Macaca fascicularis: one gene and its partners. The protein of the gene in region 1 binds, or shares a complex with, the protein of each later gene. Links are inferred from orthologs where the notes say so. Each region holds a gene or a part of one and is shown on either strand. Other genes may lie near its edges. The genes, in order: LAMTOR4, FNIP1 and LAMTOR2.

Evidence for each region.
Region 2: LAMTOR4 (region 1) and FNIP1 share a complex: the UniProt entries of both Homo sapiens proteins name them as parts of the lysosomal folliculin complex. The link is inferred for Macaca fascicularis from reciprocal best matches to the Homo sapiens genes LAMTOR4 and FNIP1.
Region 3: LAMTOR4 (region 1) and LAMTOR2 share a complex: the UniProt entries of both Homo sapiens proteins name them as parts of the ragulator complex. The link is inferred for Macaca fascicularis from reciprocal best matches to the Homo sapiens genes LAMTOR4 and LAMTOR2.

The regions. Positions count from the first base shown.
Region 1 is NC_088377.1:48,815,700-48,819,948, forward strand, and holds the start of LAMTOR4 (ragulator complex protein LAMTOR4), read left to right. Parts: upstream 1-1,342; 5' UTR 1,343-1,416; coding exon 1,417-1,419; intron 1,420-1,939; coding exon 1,940-2,020; intron 2,021-4,249. UniProt on the Homo sapiens protein: As part of the Ragulator complex it is involved in amino acid sensing and activation of mTORC1, a signaling complex promoting cell growth in response to growth factors, energy levels, and amino acids.
Region 2 is NC_088380.1:138,207,727-138,211,370, forward strand, and holds part of FNIP1 (folliculin-interacting protein 1), read right to left. Parts: intron 1,280-3,644; coding exon 1-1,279. UniProt on the Homo sapiens protein: Binding partner of the GTPase-activating protein FLCN: involved in the cellular response to amino acid availability by regulating the non-canonical mTORC1 signaling cascade controlling the MiT/TFE factors TFEB and TFE3.
Region 3 is NC_088375.1:105,027,289-105,031,451, reverse strand, and holds the start of LAMTOR2 (ragulator complex protein LAMTOR2), read left to right. Parts: upstream 1-1,297; 5' UTR 1,298-1,386; coding exon 1,387-1,454; intron 1,455-1,759; coding exon 1,760-1,922; intron 1,923-4,163. Other genes in the region: UBQLN4 (ubiquilin-4), read right to left, coding at 100-207. UniProt on the Homo sapiens protein: As part of the Ragulator complex it is involved in amino acid sensing and activation of mTORC1, a signaling complex promoting cell growth in response to growth factors, energy levels, and amino acids.

The DNA of each region.
Region 1 (4,249 bases):
TTAAAAGACACCCAGACTTCAACAATTGTTACTATATTCAGATTTTTTTGGTTTGTTTTTGAGACAATCTTGCTCTTTTACCCAGTCTGGAGTGCAGTAGCATGATCATGGCTCACTGCAGCTTCAAACTCCTGGGCTCAAGCAATTCTCCCACCTCAGCCTCCCCGGTAGCTGGGACTACATGTGCGGTATCATGCCTGGTTAATTTTTAAATTTTTAGAGATGGGGTCTTGCTATGTTGCCCAGGCTTCTAGAATCACTCTTCATATTACTCACTAACACTGCCTCCACCACATTAATACGGCAACAGGTCTAGAAATTATTTAAAACAAAAATTTCCAATGTTTACATTGTGTGATGTATGTATGTATGTATGTATGTATGTGTGTGTGTGTGTATCATTCCAAGGTACTGTTTCTAATTTTTTCCTGCAGAGAATATTCAGTATTGTATCTGCATTGGCTAGCTGGTGATTCTATTCACCATCACATTGTCCCAGACTGAATCTGAAGACAAAAAACCACTTTGGGAACAAAATCTTTTTTTTTTTTTTTTTTTTTTTTTTTGAGATGTAGTCTCGCTGTCTCCCAGGCTGGAGTGCAGTGGCGTCATCTCGACTCACTGCAAGCTCCACCTCCCAGGTTCGCGCCATTCTCCTGCCTCAGCCTCCCGAATAGCTGGAACTACAGGCGCCCGCCACCACGCCTAGCTAATTTTTTGTATTTTTTAGTAGGGACAGGGTTTCACTGTGTTAGCCAGGATGGTTTCCATCTTCTGACCTCGTGATCCGCCCGCCTCGGCCTCCCAAAGTTCTGGGATTACAGTTGTGAGCCACCGCGCCCGGCCAAGGGAACAAATTCTTGTCTTCAACAAAGAGCGGTCTTGAGTAGGCATAAAAGTAGCATTTGAAGGTTGGGCGCCCAGCCTTGAATAGCTTTTTACATGCATTGCACGTTATTTCCTTTTATTATCACGTTTTTTGGGTCCAGTCTTAAACCTGGGAAGGCATTCGTTTGGGAGGTCACACTGGCGGGCATCCTGGTTCAGGCGGAACCCAGACTCTAGAAAGCGCGCGCGGAGCCACACGGTCAACCCTGTCCCACTCCTGGCCCTCCCACACCGTCCCCTCCGCGGAAGCACTCCCGCCTCCTCTCGCTCAGGCACTGACTGAGAGGCGGAGAGATGGGTGTTAAAGAGGGGATATCACCAATCAACGTGCGCCTCCGGGAAGGAGCGCTTCGCACTGGCTGGTTGGGTCTGACGACGTGGCCACGATCCAATCCTCATGCTAGAGGCGCGGCTAAAGGGTAGGGAAGCAAGCAGAAGGAGGAGCGCGCCGGGTGCGAGCACGTGACCGGGGCCTGAAGCCGGAAGCTACCTATCTGGTAGGGAGCTCCACCAGCACCGAAGACTGCGATGGTGAGTGAGGACGCATGCGCGGGAGGACCCGCCGGGGGTTCCGCGTCTCTGCTCCCCAATCTGTGTGGTTTCCCCCTCGTGGGTCTGCGCTCCACCCTCACCTCCTATCCGCTCGGGGAGGAAGACGGGATGGAGATGGGAGGGATGGCGACGGGAATGCTGGGGAGGGGTCTGTGGGAGGGTGTTCTGGGGCTGCGGGTAGTCTGCAGGTCAGGGGCGGGGAGGTGGAGAGAGGGTCTGGGGGCAGGGGCCAGTGGGGCAGCGAAGTCCCCTCGGAGTAGCATAGGTGGAGCGTGGAAGGCCAGGGGAGCCCGGGGGCCGAGAGTGGGGGCAGATGGAGGCTCGGGAAGATCAGTATTGAGGACCATGTAGGGGGAAGGGAGCCGGGAAAGGACCTGGCTGGGGAATGAGAAAACCTGGGGCCATCGCCAATCAAGAGACTTGGGTTTGTAGGTGAAGGGTATCAGGGGCCATCCATCCCTCTAGCATGCTTCTCACTACTTGCATCTTTACCCACTAGACTTCTGCACTGACCCAGGGGCTGGAGCGAATCCCAGACCAGCTCGGCTACCTGGTACTGAGTGAAGGTGCAGTGCTGGCGGTGCGTTCTGGAAAAGGGAGGGGGTCCCTTAGTGCACACAGCCCGGTAACCCCTTCTAATATTGGCCCTTCTTTTCTCGACTTTTACCTGGTTTGCGGTCTGGCATCTATTAGGTTGGTACAAAAGTATTTGCAGTTTTTGCAATTACTTTCAGTAATCAGTCTGTGGAATCTTAGTCTCCTAACGGTTGCGGTTTATTTATTTATTTATTTATTTACACTTTTTGAAACTGAGTTTCATTCTTGTTGCCCAAGCTGGAGTGCAGTGGTGCGATCTCCGCTCACTGCAACCTCCGCCTCCGGGGTTCAAGCGATTGTCCTGCCTCAGCCTCCAGAGTAGCTGGGATTACAGGCATGTGCCACCACGCTCGGCTAATTTTTTGTATTTTTAGTAGAAACGGGGTTTCACCGTGTTAGCCAGGCTGGTCTCAAACTCCTGACCTCAGGTGATCCACCTGCCTCAGCCTCCCAAAGTGCTGGGATTACAGGCGTGAGCCAACATCCCTGGCCTTTATTTGATATTTCTTAAAGAGTCATTTGTATTTTGTTCCATAGTACTGTATAGTGTTAGGTCTCTAGATGTTTTTGATTTAGCTAGAGACAAAGCTTAAGGTTAAGTGTTGAAAACAATACAGGTGGTAAAAGACTATTGAAGGAATCCAGGATATTAAAAATTCAACATGTTATGACAAGGTAACTAACTTCCCTGGAGGTAGGAATTCAGCCCAGCTTAAAGGAGAGTATTTACAGTGGGGAGGTGGACATATTTGCAGGTGTGTGGCACTGACCTTTCTAAACTGATGGTAAGTCTGTGCTGAAAAGATTTGGGAAGATTTGAGGGAAGAGGAAGATATGGTCAGGGAGGATCTGATTGTGAAGGATCTTCAAGGCCAGGTTAACACACTTGAACTTATTCTTCTTGGAGGTAATACAGCTTGAAAGGTTTTTTAAACAGAAACAAGACCCAGTGAGGTGGTTGAGCAATATTGTTGTTAGTGATGTGAAGATGGGCAGAAGGAGGCATCATTAAGAGATTAGACTGGGCCAGGCATAGGTGGCTCAGGTCTTTAGTAATCCCAGCATTTTGGGAGGCCAAGGCGAGTGGATCACGAGGTCAGGAGAGCTAGACCATCCTGGCCAACACGGTGAAACCCTGTCTCTGTTAAAAATACAAAAACAAAATTGGCCAGGCGTGGTGGTGGGCGCCAGCTACTCGGGAGGCTGAGGCGGGAGAATGGCGTGAACCAGAAAGGCGGAGGTTGCAGTTAGCCAAGATTGCACCACTGCACTCCAGCCTGGGTGACAGAGCAAGACTCCGTCTCAAAAAAAAAAAAAAAAAAAAAGAGATGAGACTGGGCAAGTGGCAGTAAGAAGGAGCAAGGAGAGAAGAGTTTTGTTTTTGTTTTTGTTGTTTTTTGAGACAGAGTCTCGCTCTGTGGCCCAGGCTGGAGTGCAGTGGCATGATCTCAGCTCAGGGCAACCTCCGCCTCCCAGGTTCAAGCGATTCTCCCGCCTAAGCCTCCTGAGTAGCTAGGATTACAGGCGTATGCCACCACACCCGGCTAATTTTTGTATTTTTAGTAGAGATGGGGTTTTGCCATGTTGGCCAGGCTGGTCTCGAACTCCTGACCTTGTGATCTGCCCACCTCAGCCTCCCAAAGTGCTGGGATTACAGGCATGAGCCACCGCGCCCGGCCCTTTTTTTTTTTTTTTTTTTAGGACAGAGTCTTGCTGTCACTCAGGCTGAAGTGCAGTAGTGTGATCACATCTCATTGCAGTCTTGAACTCCTGGGCCCAAGCGATCCTCCCACCTCAGCATCCCAAGTAACTAGAACTATAGGCAAGCACCACCACGCCCAGCCATTAAAAAAAAAAAAATTTATAGGGACAGGGGTCTTGCTATGTTGCCCAGGTTGGTCTCGAAGTCCTGGCCTCCATCAGTCCTCCTGCCTTGGCCTCCCAAAGTGCTGGGATTATAGGTATGAGCTACTGTGCTTGGCTGGGAGAAGATATTTTAAAGGAGGAATCAGTATATCTTGCTAATGACTAGAAATAGGTAATAAAAGAAATACTTCTCTAGCTAGAACTCTAAAGCCTGGAAGAGTGATGATGCCTTAAGAAACATGTTCCTTAAGGCCGCGCGCGGTGGCTCAAGCCTGTAATCCCAGCACTTTGGGAGGCCGAGACGGGCGGATCACGAAGTCAGGGGATCGAGACCATCCTGGCTAAC
Region 2 (3,644 bases), on another chromosome or scaffold:
ATGTCCCATTCAGTTCCTACAGCAATTTTTTTATCTGAACTCTCTTTATCCCCATGGGGGACAAGAATGGAGAGTGTATCTCTTTGGTCCTGCTGAGGAAAGCAGGTTTTACATGAATCTTGGGGAACTGTTTCTATACATTTACAAAATTCATTGTTCTGTTTGTTATTTTTTGCACACAATATTTTTGAAAACTCTAACATACAGCAATGGTCTTTACTATCTGCACTTGTTTTAATTGGAACATCATCAATAGTCCTGGTTTCAATTGAATCATCATTAAAATATTCGTCAAATAAGCTCATGCTTTCTGGGTCTGAATGATTCCAACAGGGAAGTTCACAGGGCTCTTCAGAAACCATGTTCTGTATATCAGACTCTCCAGATTGGTCCTTAGTTGTTTGTTTAGTTTCTTGATGCTGATCAACAGCCCCTCTTTCTGGCTTCAATGGTTTGGTGTGATGTCTGGTAATCTGATCCACCACTGCCTGACTTCGAAGCTCAGTATCTGAATCAGGTGACATAGAATCCCCAATCAGGAAAGTAACCTTTGTCTGGGCAGCCTCACAAGAAAATGAAGCAGGCACAATCTTATCTGGAGGTTTTTTCTCCACAACCATTCCTGTGGATCTCATTGCTTTGCCTGTGTGACTGTCTGAATCCAGCAACTTCTCACTCTGCCATGTTTCCTCTGTTGGCTCTAAGCCTGACTCTGACAATGCACATTTGTCTACTGGAACAGATCCTGTGCAAACAACCGTCTCTAACTTGGCATCAAGGCAAGTTCTTAATTTATCTCTGTACTGTTTAACATCAACAGCATTTTCTTCTTGGCAGTCAGAAGGAGAAATCATCCGGCACTCATCTGAAATTCCTAGCAGCTCCTTAGAGCTGTTTTGAGCATCTTCTCTCTCTTGTTGTGAAATGTTCTCTACATTTTGCCCAAGGAGTGGATGACTGCAATATTTACAGTTACAACTGGGAGTTCTTATTTCTTCTGACTCTTTAAAGAGCAAACTGCTTTTGTTTCTATGCATTGTGACAAGGACATACTCCGATTCTTCTATTTCACCTTTCTCTAAAGTGGTAGTAATTACTGTGCCTGGCATAACGATGGCTTCATCTTCTCCATTTTCTAAAAGATGCGTTTCTTGAAGTTCAGAGCATCTTATAAAATAAGTAAGAAAATAAAGTAGCCTCTGGACCATGTCTTGTCGTTTGCCAACTACCACAGTCCTTGCTAACCGTACAGGAGAGCCAATAGCGCCATACAAGTCTCCTGTAATGGAAAAATCAGTTATTGGACACATCCTTTACTGACACAGCTAAGTAAGCTATTTTTAATGATCAGAAACCTAATCTTACTGTATGAGTAGTTGTTTAGGTTTTACTTTTTTTTTTTTTTTTTTTTTTTTGAGACAGGGTCTCACACTGTAATCCTGGCTGGAGTACAGTGGTACAGTCATGGTTCACTGCAGCCTCAGCCTCCTAGGCTCAAGTAATTATCCTACCTCAGCCTCCTGAGTAGCTGGGACTATAGGTATGTGCCACCACACCTGGCTAATTATCTGTATTTTTTTTTGTAGAGACAGAGTTTTGCCATGTTTCCTAGGCTGATCTTGAGTTCCTGGGCTCAAGCAATCCACTGGCCTTGGCCTCCCACAGTACTGGGATTACAGGCATGAGCCAACATGCCTGGCCTCATTCTTAGTTCTTTAACAGATGAGTGACTATTCAAGGGAGGAAGATGAGATGAATAGTCTTAACCAGAAAGAAAGGTGAATTTAAGGGTTTTCAGGCTTCCTCTTTAAACAAATGCTATGGTTCAGAAACCTCAAGCAAAGAGTCAGTTCTGAAACTCACATATCCCAAGAATATTCTTTAACCCAGGCTCCATGAAGAGCATTTTTACCTGGTTAGAGAAGTACTGCCTGAAGTACTATGTACACAAGGACTCTGCAGCTGTGTCCAATCAAGAAAAGACAAAGCACAATATCTGCTGGCTTGCAAGGACAGGAAAGGAGTAGCGGTAAAATGGAGCAAAGCTAGAGTAGTCACACCACACACTTAATCATTCCTGATTTAAATCATATCTCTGGGGCCAGGCACGGTGGCTCACGCTTGTAATTCCAGCACTCTGGGAGGCCGAGATGGGTGGATCACTTGATATCAGGAGTTCAAGACCAGCCTGGCCAACATGGTAAAACCCTGTACTTACTAAAAATACAAAAATTAGCCAGGTGTTGTGGTGGATGCCTGTAGTCCCACCTACTCGGGAGGCTGAGGCTGGGGAATTGCTTGAACCCAGGAGGCAGAGGGTGCACTGAGCTGAGATGACACCATTGCAATCCAGCCTGGGCGACAAGAGTGAAACTCCGTCTCAAAAAAAAAAAAAAGAAACAAAGAAATAAAATTAAAAAGTAAGTCATATCTCTAAACTTTAACTGTTGTTCCCCTAGCCAGCACCCCATCCCACCAGCTCCCATGTTAGTAAGAGCCTATTTTCCCCTTCCATTCCCTAGAGGGTTGGGTACACAGGATAGGCCAGAAGGGGCAGGAAGAGAGAGACTCATCCTTACTAAAAGGAAAAGAAAGGGCAACGAGTTTAGCCATGCAATTCATTTTCACTTTTGAACCCATTCTAAACATGACTAGCGATTATGTTAAAAGCAGGGGAAGTGAGGGGGTCAGGACTAGAAATTATCATTTCTATATTTATGCTATACTTCAAATTAAACCAGTAATTTCAGTGCCAAAACTATGGAGAACAGGGCTGGGCATGGTGGCTTATGCAGGTAATCCCAGCATTTTGGGAGGTGGAAGCAGGCTGATCACTCGAACCCAGCAGTTTAAGACCAGTCTGGGTAACATGGCAAAACTCTCGTCTCTACAAAAAAATACAGAAAATTAGCTGGGCATGGTGGCTTGCTCCTGTAATCCCAGCTACTTGAGAGGAAAAGGTGGAAGAATCACCTGAGCCCAGGAAGCTGAGGCTGCAGTGAACTGTGATCGCACCACCGCACTCTAGCCTGTGCGATACAGTGAGACCCTGTCTCAAGAAAGAAAGAAAAGAAAAAGGAGAATACAAAGCCACTAATTTCAACTTAATTTAATTTTTGCAAGTTGTTAGTATATACATTTAAAATCCTCTATTTTTACTTTACAAAGCCCTCACACTTTTTAAAGGAACAAATATAAATAGGTCTCAAATAAATACATGCTATAGGTATTATTATGATAAATTTTCTCCTCTGGCTAACACACTGGCTCAAATATCACCATGCCACTGTTCTAAATTACTCCCACGATTCCCACGAATTACCAAGTAAGTTGAAATTACTTTGGTATGGCAAGTGAGTCTTTCATGATTCCCATTTTACTTTTCCAGCTTTATCTTCTTATACTTATCCTCCTTCTTGGCAGTCAGAAGAAGAAATCATCTTTATTCATGCAAAGACCCAGTTAAACTGGACCACTGAATATGCTCTGCACTTTTAACACCTACTCTTTACTCATGTGATGTCCTGTCCCTTTCCTCAATATCTCTGCCAGTCCATAGCTTCCCACCTAAGCATCCTCACTTGGGCAAAAGTAGGCTCCCCTGTTCAACTCCTACTAAACTTTTCATTTCTCTTATAGTTCCT
Region 3 (4,163 bases), on another chromosome or scaffold:
CTCTCCGGGGCCCTCCAGGACGCCAGACCGTCAGGGAGGCCCCCATCTCTTCGCAGACCCCTCCTCCGCGCTCCCCCCGCCTCCCGCCTGCTGTACTACCTCCTTGACCGAGGCTCGATCGCAGATCACAATTTCCTCCTTGTCCTTAGGGGTCTTGACGGTGACCCGAATAGGGGGCCTCGTCTCGGCCCCGCTCGGCTCCGCCATGCCGCCGCCGCCACCCGGCCGCCCGCCAGCCCGCCCGGCTCCTCCTCCTCCCCGCCCGCCCGGCCGGCCCGGCTCGGCTCCTGCGCCTCCAACACTCCCCTCTCTCCACCTCTCCCCTCCCCTCCCCTCCCCTCCTCTCCCCTCCCCTCCCAGAGGCTTCACCGCCCCCTCCAGACCAGCCGCAGCCACAGCGCCCCGGGCGGACCGGGGGGGCCACTGCAGCGGGGTCCGCCCAGGGCCAAGCCCCAGGTCCGGAATCCGGCCAGGGTCTCGCCAAGCTGGGGCTCCTGGGGAGGCTCTGGGCGGGGGAAGGGACGTGCCCTTCACTGCGGGGGCGAGGGCGAACTCCCCGGGAGACCGCGGCCCAACGCTGCTCGCCCGAGCCGTGCCGCCGTCCCCTCCGGCCCAAAGCCTCCCCGCCCCCTCCGCGGCTAACTCTGCTCCGGGACAAAGGACTTTGTGTGTCGCCGCTTTATCTCCGTTCCCTGTGATAACTTGGTCTTTCTTGGAAGCCCCAAGTCCCTTCCAGGCCAGGGGCCTTTCCCGACTTGGAGGTTGGGTTTTCCCACCAAGCACGTCCACTTAGGATCTCAGCTCTAGGACTGACCCTATAGCCCCGAGGGTCGCGGCCTAAATGGTCTGTTGCGAACGGTTCCAGGGAGCTGGGTTTTGGCTGCGTGGCCTTTCAGAGCCTTGATTTCCTCAAGATAATAATAGTACCTCTCGCCTCATCGCACAGAATTGTGCATAACGGAGAAAACTGTTTTGAAAGTAACCAAAGGCGTGCCTGACAAATATGAGGATGTAGTATAATTATTGAATCGTGGACTGCCAAGCGGACACGTTGATTCCTTTCTCCCCGAAGGGGTTAAATGTCCTTCCAGCGCTGCAGCTGTCCTTTCACTCCCGCTCTTTTCCGCCCCCACAACCGCGTGGTCCGCCTGGAAAGGCGAACTATAGTTCCCATGGTGCCTCGCGAGGTCACGAGGAACTACGATTCCCAGAGACCCCCGCGGCGGGGCGGTGTTGAGTCGGAACCACAATAGCCAGGCGAGGAAACTACAACTCCCAGGGCATCCCGGAGCAGGCCAACGGGACTACGGGAAGCAGCGGGCAGCGGCCCGCGGGAGGCATCTCGGAGGATCTGGGTGCAAAAACCCAGGGTTAGGAGCGGTAGGCATGCTGCGCCCCAAGGCTTTGACCCAGGTGCTAAGCCAAGCCAACACTGGAGGCGTCCAGAGCACCCTGTGAGTGCGGACCACGGACCCCAGCGGCGCGCGCTGCAGTGGAGCGGCGTGCGACTCCCTGAGGGAGGGGTGGGGAAGGATCGCCCGGAAGGGAGGAGGCGTCAGAGGGGGCAGTGGCTGGGGGTACCGGCCGGGAGGTCACCTCTCGAAAAGGGAGGCCGGTGTGCTGGGTGCTTAGGGCACGTTCCGGGACACACTCAGCCGAGAGCCTTGCTGGATGTGCCCGTGGCGGGACTTGAGATGGAAACCCAGACGTTTTACTCCCCGCGCTGAGCACATCGTTATCCCTCCCCGCCCCTCACCAGGCTGCTGAATAACGAGGGATCACTGCTGGCCTACTCTGGTTACGGGGACACTGACGCCCGGGTCACCGCTGCCATAGCCAGTAACATCTGGGCCGCCTACGACCGGAACGGGAACCAAGCATTTAATGAAGACAATCTCAAATTCATCCTCATGGACTGCATGGTATGGAGAGGGGAGCCAGACTTCCCCTGTCCCCCAAGGGGATCCCAAGGGGGCGACCTGGACCCCATCCTGGATGGTTGGAGGGGCAGGGACAGGATCTCCGGAAGATTACTAAGAGTTGGTCTGCAGCAGCATTTGTAATAGGCAGGACCCTATTCATCAAGTGGTGGTGAGGAAGGAGCCCTGGACCTGAGAGGTCTGACTTGGGTTCTGGTCTCAGCCATCCACTTATCAGTTGTGGAACCTTGGGTAAGTCGCTTAACCTCTCTCAGCTTCCTTACCTCATGTCTAAGGAGAAGACAATTTCCCTCTCCCCGCTCCCCTCGTGGGTTGTTGTGAAGGTCAAATGAAATAATGGGTATAAACAGTAGAATGACGTGCAAACACAAAGTGTTGTCATCCCAGCTTCACCGACTCACAGAACCATGGCAGTCTCCAGACCCTAGTCCAACCCCTTAAGGTTACAAAGAAAGGAAAATGAAGTCCAGAAAGGGGAAGTCGCCATTAGACTGTGAACTTCCTAGTATCTGTTCAGTTAACAAATATTTAGGTCCTTGCAGTGTTCTCAGGACTAGGGAAAAAAAAACAGCAAACAGAAAGACAAAACCCCCAGACCTAATAAATCTTACACAGTGATGCGATCACAGCTCATTGCAGCCTCGACCTCCCTGGGCTCAGGTGATCCTGCTGCCCCAGCCTCCTGAGTAGCTGTGACTACAGTCATGCACCACCACACCTCACTAAGTTTTGGATTTTTTGCAGAGACTGGGTTTTGCCATGTTGCCCAGGCTGGTCTCAAACTCCTGGCTCAAGTGATCCACCCACCTCGGCCTCCCAAAGTGATGGGATTACAGGTGTGAGTCACTGTGCCCGGCCACATTTTTTAAAATAAGTAAAATATGTAGTATATATTAGGTATTGAAATTGCAATGGAGAGAAAGCAGGGAAGTTAAAGAGTATGAGTTTGTTGGGCGTATGTGTCAGGGACAGTCTCACTGGAAAGGTGATATTTGATCAAAGATGTGAAGAAAGGTGGGGGACAAGCCATGTGGCTATCTGAGGGAAGAATATTTTGGACAGAACAGCAAGTACCAAGGCCCTGAGGCAGAATTATGCCTGCTCAAGGATCAACAGGGTTGGTTGGTATGGCTGGAGTTGCATGAGAATGGAGGAGGGTTAAGTAGGAGATGAGGTCAGAGAGGCAGGGAGTGCAGTGCTTGGTTCCTGGCATACAATGAATACCTAGTAAAAGTTTGCCGAACTTACTTTTGTTTTTTTCAAATCGGCCAGAGGGTGAACTCTCCAGGAAGGATCTTCATAGTAACTCAACTGCCTACTCTCCCCTATCCCCTGCACAACCAATGCCATTTTTAGTTCAACATAAGACTCCTACTGGATGCGTAGAGCTGGTGCTATAAGGAAATAGCTTTCAAACGTTTTGACCACAACCCAGCCATAAGAAATATATTTTAAAGGGCCGGCACGGTGGCTCATGCCTGTAATCCCAGCACTTTGGGAGGCTGAGGCGGGCGGATCATGAGGTCAGGTGTTCAAGACCAGCCTGGCCAACATGGTGAAACCCTGTCTCTACTAAAAATACAAAAAATTAGTCAGGCATGGTGGCATGTGCCTGTAATCCCAGCCACTAAGGAAACTGAGGCAGGAGAATCACTTGAACCCAGGAGGTGGAGGTTGCAGTGAGCTGAGATCACGCCATTGCACTCCAGCCTGGGCAACAGAGCGAGACTCCATCTCAAAAAAAAAACCAAAACAAACAAACAAACAAAAAACAAATACATTTTAAGGCTGAGCGCAGTGTCTCACTCCTGTAACCCCAACACAGACTGAGGCTGGAGGATACTTGAGGCCAGGAGTTTGAGACCAGCCTTGGTGACCTAACAAGACCTCATCTCTACAAAAACTTTTTTTAAAAATAAATAAATAAATAGGAAATAATTTTTTAAGAAAGACATTTTAAGTCACAGCTCAACACACACATATACCCACTAAAACAAAAGTCATGAAACAATACTTTTCCTACTACATGTAATATACTTCATTTTTTCTTTTTTCTTTTTTAATGCTGATCAACCTTCTTTTTTTTTTTTTTTTTTTTGAGACGGAGTCTCGCTGTTGCCCAGGCTGGAGTGCAGTGGCGCGATCTCCGCTCACTGCAAGCTCCGCCTCCCGGGTTCCCGCCATTCTCCTGCCTCAGCCTCCTGAGTAGCTGGGACTACAGGC